Linked DNA regions of Saccharomyces cerevisiae S288C. The gene in region 2 interacts genetically with the main gene of each other region. Each region holds a gene or a part of one and is shown on either strand. Other genes may lie near its edges.

Region 1 (4,707 bases), on a different chromosome or scaffold from region 2:
GATTTTGACAGCTGGAAGCAGGGAGAAAGCCGGATGACCGACAGTGTTTTGGTTAAATCTCCACAGAAACCTATTGCACCTTCCAACCCTCACTCATTCAAACAAGCGACATCTATGACCCCTACACACAGCCCAGTAAGAAAAAATTCAAACCTCTCGCCCACTCAAATAGAATTGTGAGTTTGGTTGTACCGTGTAGAGGACATTATGATAGAATGTAACGATATTTATTCAAAATAATTATTAATATTATTGTAAAACAAAGAATTTTTTTTTTTTTTTTAGTTGAATAAGTGCCTGATAAATTGAAAATAGTAATAAATATTCTTAATGCCGTAAGTGCTATTAAGATTTTCTCGTAATAAACAATAGGACATTAAATGAGGTTATTTTTGTAATAATTATGTAGTTATATGTCCATCAAAAACTATTTCGTTCTCTACTACTTGGATTTGTTATATGATGGAAGAGTGATCGTGTTATACGCTGACAGATTTTCGTTAAGTTATTACGGGCTTGGATTCACAGCCTGGGCAGTTATGAAGGATTTCATGGATGAACACATCGCAGTCAACACAAAATTCTTGTTTACAATCTTCACAACGATAGCGAGAACTTGTCAGTAGTTTACCATTTTTATGGTTTTTCAGTATGGGAAATCTTGACTGGCAACTAAAGCAGTCTTCTGATCGAAATTTTTCTGTTGTAGGTACTTCTGCAAATGTTTTTAACGGCATCAGATGGTGATATGATCTGGCCAGGTGGGTAGAAAGGATTAGCATCAAGTCACAACATGGACAGACTGTGGGCAATGAACAAACTTTACTATGACAATTGGGACAGAAGTATCCGCCGTAAACTAACTTGGAATGGCACGAACAAAAAGTTGGAGTATCTTCGAATATCCTTGTCGGAAACCCCATCTTTACGAGTGTGAAACCCTTATTAATTTTGTTAACGGGTAAAGGGGTAACAGCCTCGTTAAATAGCTCCTTTAAGTGAGTTTCATCGAGTAAAATTTTATAGAAGGATTCATCACCATAATTCGTTGCCTTGCATAATTCTTTACATATGGCCACTTGAGCTGATAACCCCAAAACCTTCACTCTAATTTTCTCAGAAACTAACGAATCGATAGTTTGGTGAATATCTCCAGGATCAGTTGTGGAAAGACTACCAAATACAATCAGTACTTCCCTTGTACAATGCGCAGGAACAGGCAATAAAAGGCCTCTTGCCATTTCCAATGCATTTTGCAATGAAGGGTTTCCTTTCGGTTCTTGTTTCCTGATGGATTTCAACGCATCAATGTGATCCTGCGGGTTTCCGCTAACTTGGCTGACCAGTTGTGCCAAACCGTTTCTCATTATGATAATACCCATTTGAGATATCGGATTTTGGTCGAAAAATTCATGGACAAAATCTATGGCGTACTGGATAATCATGGCATGCCTGTTTGGTCTCAAATCCTTTTCCAACATAGCTTCACTACAATCTAGTGTTAATATTAAACTTCTGATAATACCTCTTTGGTATGGCGTTATGTTTTTCTTAGCAGTACGTTTCTTTCTGGCCTCGACTATGCTAGCCACAAGAGATGCCATATCCCCTTCATCGTCCACTTTCACCAAATCCCAACTTCTCTTGATCTCATCCTCCCAAGCGTACCCACCATTTGAACCTTGCAGGTTTCTATTCGAGAGCCTTTTCTTCTTCTTACGCTGCACATGTTTATCCCTATCCCTGTGGCTTGAACTGTGCTGCTGTTGCTGTTGGTCTACACGATCATCTCCCTCGCCATCAAAATGAACTTGTCTCTTAGTTCTTCTAGTAATGGCAACTCTATCCTCATCCTCTTCAGATTCTGAAATAACTACAGGAGCCATTCTACTGCACAATCCTTCCGCACACACGCAATTAGCTGCCGACTTGCCCCACTAGTAATCACCTGCATCTATATAAGATAAGATGAAGACCTTTTACGTATCTTGAAAAACTATACAATAGCAAAGAAACCTACCACCCAGACCCTGTGCGGAGTATCTCGAACTTCCAGTATATTACTCTCAAGTAGATGACGCGTAATAGACAGGTTTTATTGGCAAATTTCGAGTCGCTATCATTATCAACATTAATTATAGGGTGGTGTTTGGTTGGTTCGAGTGCCGTCATAACTATTTGTTTTTTTTGCATATCTGGTTGATCCTCCTTAGTTAATATAGTCTCTTTGAGTTTCCCTTAAGGAACTGTCATTTGGTCCGGCGGAAAACATGGTGGTGACAGACAGCCTTTTCAGAGGTGATGAGCAATCTCGATGAGCATCTCAGCGGGTGCATATATACACGTATATAAGATAGTTCAAAGTATGATAGATTAAAGTTTACTTTGTTGTTGCTGAGAAGTAGTGAGAGTGTCAGCAAATCAATACAATGAAAAACATGTCACAACGATCCATGGACGTGGAGAAGAAGGCAGCTAACGCTGATAGTTGTTCCGTAAGTACCTCGAGCATTAATGTAGACGATGCGGACGTTGCTTTAAGATTCCTGAAACAGAACGGTCTCGACGAAAGCTCCACGGCTAATGAAGACGATGTTGTAGCAGGCGAAGAAGCCAACTTCTATGGTTCCCATGAATTATCTCCTAAGGTCCTGAGAAAAGTTGACCTCTTCATCCTGCCCTTTTTATGCTGTACATATCTTCTGATGTTTTTGGATAAGGCTCTGCTGAACTACGCTGCATCTATGGGTATCAAAGATCATTTGAAAGGTAACGAATTTTCTAATTTGGGTACTATCTTTTCTGCTGCTTACATTTTCATGGAACCTGTGGTCACTTACTTAATTCAAAAATTCCCCATTTCCAAAATCCTAGGTACTTTTATTACCGTCTGGGGTATCGTGTTGGCTTGCCATGCTGCTTGTAAGACGTACGCCTCGTTGATGGTCGTTCGTACTCTCCTAGGTCTCTTTGAATCCTCGAGTGCAGTTGGTTGTATCGCTATTAGTGGTATGTACTATACTAAATCTGAACAGAGTGCAAGAATTGGATTCTGGGCCACACAGGCTGGTACAGGTTATATTGTGGGCGGGTTAATTTCTTTTGGCTTTTTACATTATCATGGTACCGCTTTCACCTCTTGGCAAATAATGTTTTTGGTCGTTGGTCTGGTTACAGTTGCGTTTGGTGTTCTAACATTCTTATACCTTCCAGATAACGTCACCAATGCTTGGTTCCTAAACAAAGAGGAAAAAATTCAAGTTGTTGAGCATATCAGAGCTAACCAAACTGGCCTGGAAACAAAGAAGTTTAAGAAGCAGCAAGTTAAAGAACTATTCCTTCATGATAAGTTTACTTGGCCGATGCTTTTATTAACTGCATGTTCTCAAATTTCTACTGGTGCCATTGGTACATTTTCAGTGACCATCACTGGTACTTTTGGTTTCGACAAGTACGAAACAGCATTACTGCAGTTGCCTATTGGTGCCATTACGGCTATGATTATTCTTATAACAACTCAAATGTTGTCCCGCTGGGGTCATATCACACTCATAACCACATCTATGTATATTCCAGCTATTATAGGTTGTATCGTTCTTATCAGTTTACCCTTATCCCATAAGATCGGTAACTTATTTTCTCTGTACTTGCTTTACAGTGGTTCCTGTGTCATTACCAATATTTACATCTGGAATTCATGCAACACCTCCGGTTACACCAAAAGAGTTTTTAGAAATGCTATTACAATGATTGTATACAATGTCTCCTGTATTATTGCTCCACAGATGTTTAGGGCATACTCTGCTCCACGTTACATACCAGCAAAGATTGCCTTATTGGTCACTCAGTGTGTTTGTGTTCCCCTACAATTATACATTGGCTACATTTGCAAGAAGGAGAACGAAAAGCGTGATAAGGAACAAGAAGGTCAAGAAAGGAAGAAGTACCAATTTTTGGACTTGACTGATATCGAAAACAGAAATTTCAGGTACATTTACTAATAATCAACTTTTAATTTACAATATATAATATTTTTAGTCTGTAATATTCAATATTCAAAGACACCCAAACATTCATTGCACTTGGTATTTACCAAAAAATTGAAGAGAAAATTTTTGAGATGACCATGGATGAGGCAATGAAAGTCGAAATTTGATCCCCGCTACTAACTTCTAAACATATCGTCAGGACAATTGAGCTGAAAATGTCTAATCCAGATGATTTAGATGATGGACTCGCCTATGATTTTGATGCCGAACATGAAGTAATTTTTGACGCCAAGGATGGTAGTCCCCCAACCAAAAAGGTACAAAAGAGGTCTATAGAACAAGATGACGATGACGTTGATGATATAGATGGGAAAAAAGAGGAGAGAAATTCAGAAGATGATTCGAATAGACCTATTTCGAAAAGACAGAAAAAGCTACAGAAAAAATCAAAGCTAATTGAGAAAAAGAAAGAGGAAAGCCAGTATATCGTCTCACAACGAAAAGCACTTCCAGCAAGTTCACCAGAAAAAATTATTGAGTACCTAACAACTTTGATACGAGAAAAAAATCCTGACTTGAGTGTTTTAGAATTAGAGGAACTTTACTTCAAAAGAAATGATTTTCTTTCGACAGAAAAATTTGACGCTGAACGCAGATTAAGCAATTTCCCAGCCTTTATTCAAAAATTTTCCGTAGCTCCAAAAAAAATTGTTTTTTC
Region 2 (4,941 bases):
GCTACGGAATGCGTAGCTGAACGCCGTGGTTTCCGGAGAAAGACGAAAGATCAACTCCGGCCGTCTGGCCAGGAACGATAGGTGCTGGAGATAAGTGAGGTACGGATACCAAGAGCGAAATACCTCTTTAGGTACGTTCCGGGCCGTTGTTGCCGGCGAAACCGGAGGGACAAGGCAATATGAAGTAGGATTGGAAACCGGCTTTGGCATATTGCCACATGCGTATGTACATGTCCGGCATCACGTGGTTATGATGTAGTATACTATATTATGTTATATCTGTATTACGCTACGTTGTGCTATCTTGGATGTTCTATTTGATGTTGTTGGCCAAGGCATCTTTTCTCTCTTCCCAAACAGTCTTTCCGGTACACGCACACACTTGTTTATTATTTTCCCACACACCAGCGCTTCTCGCAATGACTCCCAGAAATGAGTAGTCCTTAACGGAGGAAGGCTCGTTTTCTGGGTGGTTCAGAGACTTGGAAATGACAAAGCTGCGGCCGATAAGTTGCCATGTTGGCAAGGGAGCGCTCAGAAAGGTCTTCCCACTGTACAAGTTCTTGCCCAAATCACTCTCGTTGAAGCATTCAATGGGTTCGTCGAACTTGTGCCAAACTTTACCAGTAGATTCCACGCCCTTGGAGACGTCGCCTTTCTCGTGAATGCTGGCGTGGTAATTTCCCGCCTCTGGGACGCCATTTACAGTGATGTCAAAAAGAGTCTTATTCTCTCCAACCTGAACGATTCTTGCTAGGCCCCTCACGGCGGTGTCCTTTTTCTGGTCTATAGTATATTTTTGAAAGGTCTCTAAGATAGCGACCGCGGAAGAATTCGGCTTCCCGGCGCCTCTTATGATGGCGTCTTTACCACAGTTTCGCAAGGTGTTGATGATGGTTGAAGGGGCTACTGAGCTTTCCACGCTCATTATTTGTTGCTCTATATCGAAATTCAATGAATTGATTCCTGGGACATTTTTTAGGCATGCCTTTATATCATTCACGCAATTTTCACAGTGCATGGGAATGGCATAAGTAGCCTCGTATGTATCGTTCGTGGTCATTTTTGTGCTGATCGAATGGGTTTCTGCCTTGCAAAGATATCTTTATTCTTTTCTTAGTCTAAATTTTTTTTTTTTGGCTTGCCTTTAATATATTATTTTTCCGAACAATGAATTTTTACCCTCTTCCATTCTCACTGTGTACTAGTTGTACGGGGAAAATGCTTAGTAAGCGCAAATTTTTTTTTGATAGTATATTATACTGAAATGTACAAGATTAACTTTTGTCTGGTTATTATAAATCACATATTTGATTATATGAATTGTTAAAATGAATTTGACAAACAGAAAAGTATATATTTTTATTTCTTTTTTTTTTTTTTTATTCTCTAATAAGCTCGTTGGATGGAAGACGTTGACATAAGCAAGCTCAACTTCCAGGACTATTATTCTTCTTCACTTATGTCGTCTTCAGCCTTGTTCATTTCAGCTTCCAAGCTTTGAGCAAATTCTTCGTCACTAGAATTTGCATCTTTTGACTCGTTTATGTTGGAGACAATATCTTCTTTTTTAGCTTGAAGTGTGGGTACAGGTTCAGGTTCAGGTTCAGCTATCTTTTCTTTTGCCTTTGCCTCTTTCTCTTGTTCTGCAACTGCTTTTGCCTTTGCCTCCTCTGCCTCTTCTTTTTCCTTTTGCTTGCGTTCCTCTTGTTGTTTCCTACCTGCCTGGCCTGGGATGATCAAAGTAGCATTGGCTTCTCTTTCAGCGTTTTGAATGTTTTCCTCGTGTGGAAGTAGAGTAGGTGGAGCAGGTTTCTTCTTCTTTGAACGTGGCTCCAAGTCATGACTCTCATTAGATGCTTTGGACTTATCTTCTCTCCTCTTCTTTGGGCTGTTCTTGTCCTTCCCGTTTTTATCCTTGTCGTTATTAGTACTGTCATTATTGTTATCATCTTCATATTCGTCGTCGGACAATAGTCTAACCATTTTGGTTTTTGGTCTCTTGGATCCTAGCCTTCTCAAGGCTTCATCAATATTCAATCTGTGCTTAAGCAATTCGTCGTATAGATCTTCTGTCAACGAAATACCTTTCTTCCCAGGTTTCATTTCGCCTGTAGATGAGTCCAGATAGTACTCACGGATATCAATTAAATTTATGTTTCTAAATTGTCTTACCGTGACCCTCTTATTTTTACCCAGATCAAAAATTGCATCTGATGCGGATAGTCCAGATGGCATACCACCATTGTTATTGTTACTGTTACTTAAGTTTCCTCCACCATTATCGCTTCTTCTTTTGTTCCTATACCTGTTGTAATATGACATAGCGCTTGTGTTTGTATATATGTCGAAAAATTGATGTGTACGGAAAGATTTAATATTAAATAGCTTTCTTAAGTGGGCAACCAAAAGTGTTTCTTTGATTGGGGACTTTTACAAAATTCACGTTTACAACCTCTTCTCTTGTCTTCCTATCGTTCCCTGGATCAAATTAAGAATTTTCATCAAGAATAGAGAGCAGAAGGCAAGCCAAGAGAGAAAAAGAAAGAGAGAAAGAAAGAAAGGAGAGGAAGAGGAGATGAAAAGAGAGGAAAACTTGAGTTTTGATAAAGAAATTTGAGGAAGGTAAAAGTAAAATTCCCATTCAAATGAATGTATTAATAAATTCTCATCATTAAAAGGAGGGAAAAATTACGTATAACGTAAAGATAAAACGTGTGTGTGTGCAGTGCTATACTCATTGTCCTTGTTAGTGATGATAATTCGTCCCAGCTGAAAAAACTCAAAATAAGTATTACCCGGATCGAGGCTGTGGCATTTAGCGCCGCTGTCTTGACCATCCACCAATGGTTGATAATAACATCGGATGATCAGCCCATTTTTGGTGTATTACTATCCCATCTCATTCTTCCAAAAAACACGTATATATCATTGACGAGATCGAGATACGTCTGCTGTGTTTAACGGCTAACTTGGTTGTGTAGGCTTGTGTCAATTAGGCAAAATGGTTTTCTTGGAAAAAAGACAAGGGAAAAAAAAGGGTTGATAGAGCAATATATGTACAGCTGGCCTTCTCTGAGAAAAGCTAGCCGCCTGGAAGTAAATAAATACGCTGAGTGTTCGTTGGAGCATGAATTATGTGAATAGAAAAATACTAAGCAAAATTTCAAAGTCGAGTTAGTGATGGGTGTTTATTTGGCAGTACTCTTTTCGTTACTGGTCATCGAAATGGCCATTCTGTTTATTTTGGTACTTCCGCTTCCACAGCGTATGAGAAGGTGGCTGTATATACGCTACAGTATCATAAGTACTAATAAGAAATTCAGAACTTATATGGTTGGAATCATGATCTTCGTTGGTCTTTTGTTCATCGATTCATGGAAAAGGTCACAGATCAGAGTGTCTACGTACCGCAACCAGAAAAATCCCTATATAATAAATAGTGTAACCCCAGTGGATGCACTGGCTTCAAGGGCATATAACCAAAGGAATGTTTACATTTCAGGCTTCATCATCTACTTTTATATATGTATACTCACCGTGATGAGTATATTGCGAAGAATAGTGGAATGGAATGACAAAATGAAGGCTGGAGATGACATTCTGAAGGAAAAGTTAAGACGAAAGCAAAAATATTTAGAGGAATTGCAGAAGAAGAAATTTTAAAAGGAAAAAACTAAAAAAGAAGAAAAGGAAAAACTTACATATGTAAATAGAACAAATGAATATAAACTAAAATTTGACAAATTTTTTTTCTTTTTGGGGTGATTATATCATTTCTGGATGAGGAATACCTGAAGACCACTCTTCATTAAAATGTTCTTTAAAAATATTCTTTTGGATATATTCTACTAGTTGTCCGTCCTTAGAAGATAATCTGTTGCCATTCGATTTCACAATTTCGTAATTATCCAGAGCAAGTTTCAATTCTTCCATGCTACTGACTCCAAGAACAACGGGTCCCTTTCCTACCCATTCCGAAATCGCGTATCTTGTGGCCAAATCGGCTAAGTCGACATTTTGTTCTTGACAGTATTTGGCAGCCTGAGATGCGCATTCTCTCAATTCATGAGAACACGGGTGAAACTGTCTTGTCTCCTGTGACCTTAGTAGCGACATGCTCAAGATTGATGCGTTGCAAACCATTTTCAGTTTAGCATTGCGTAGCAGTCTTTCTCGAAAGTTCAATAGCTTATTGTTTTGTAAGTTCAAGTTACAATAGGACAATACTGCATCCAATGACCCAATATCACTTTCCTCGGTAGAGCAGTACTCAGCAAGCCAGGTGATAAAGTCGATTGGGTAGCCTGATATGCCAAAATTTTTGATAACTCCTTTGTTCTTCAAGGTCCTCAATTCCTTTAATGCCTCTAAGATGTCTGGAAATTTGACAAACTCGACATCGTGCAAGTACACCAAATCGAGATATGTAGTGTGTAATCTTTCGCACGATCTGTGAACACTAAATCTCACGAAATCTCTAGAATAGTTAAACTCTTCCGCACCAATACGCCCAACCTTTGTGCATATAAAATAAGTGTCTCTGGGAAATTCATTCCTTAAATTGGACAGTGCCCTACCATAAAGAACCTCACTAGGGCCATAGTAGGGAGAAGTGTCAATTGCATTGATACCATGCGAAAATGCGTATTTGATTATGTCTTCCAGTGGAATGGATTCTGGCTCATCTGTATATTGCTGGTTCAGTATTGCACCTCCTAAGACTAAAGGAGAAACCGAAGCTAAGTCGAATGGATTCACTTTTTCATTAACCATCTTATAGTCTCCGTTGTTACTCTTTTATTTATGTGTACTCTTCCTTCCTGTTAACAGAGTAGATAAATATAGGCTTTAAACTTACCGTGTACTGAAACCCAGAAGGCAGCTTTCTTTTTTCCAGAAAGTAAAATAATGACAAAAAAATCGACTACATATGCACAA

The links. Genes that interact genetically often act in the same process or in processes that back each other up.
Region 1: mutations in SUB1 (region 2) and SSL1 together harm fitness more than expected from each alone (negative genetic interaction), as found in Saccharomyces cerevisiae (3 studies listed by BioGRID, with this or other methods).

Annotation. Positions count from the first base shown.
Region 1 is NC_001144.5:157,228-161,934, reverse strand, and holds SSL1 (TFIIH/NER complex subunit SSL1), read right to left. Parts: upstream 1,887-4,707; coding exon 501-1,886; downstream 1-500. Other genes in the region: mitogen-activated protein kinase kinase kinase SSK1, read left to right, coding at 1-180; THI73 (Thi73p), read left to right, coding at 2,430-4,001; CMS1 (Cms1p), read left to right, coding at 4,205-4,707. UniProt on the Saccharomyces cerevisiae protein: Component of the general transcription and DNA repair factor IIH (TFIIH) core complex, which is involved in general and transcription-coupled nucleotide excision repair (NER) of damaged DNA and, when complexed to TFIIK, in RNA transcription by RNA polymerase II.
Region 2 is NC_001145.3:347,198-352,138, forward strand, and holds SUB1 (chromatin-binding transcription coactivator SUB1), read right to left. Parts: upstream 2,326-4,941; coding exon 1,447-2,325; downstream 1-1,446. Other genes in the region: copper chaperone CCS1, read right to left, coding at 314-1,063; YET2 (Yet2p), read left to right, coding at 3,184-3,666; D-arabinose 1-dehydrogenase (NAD(P)(+)) ARA2, read right to left, coding at 3,769-4,776. UniProt on the Saccharomyces cerevisiae protein: Plays a role in the release of TFIIB from the transcription complex during transcription initiation. Binds to TFIIB and specifically inhibits the formation of the TBP-TFIIB-promoter complexes.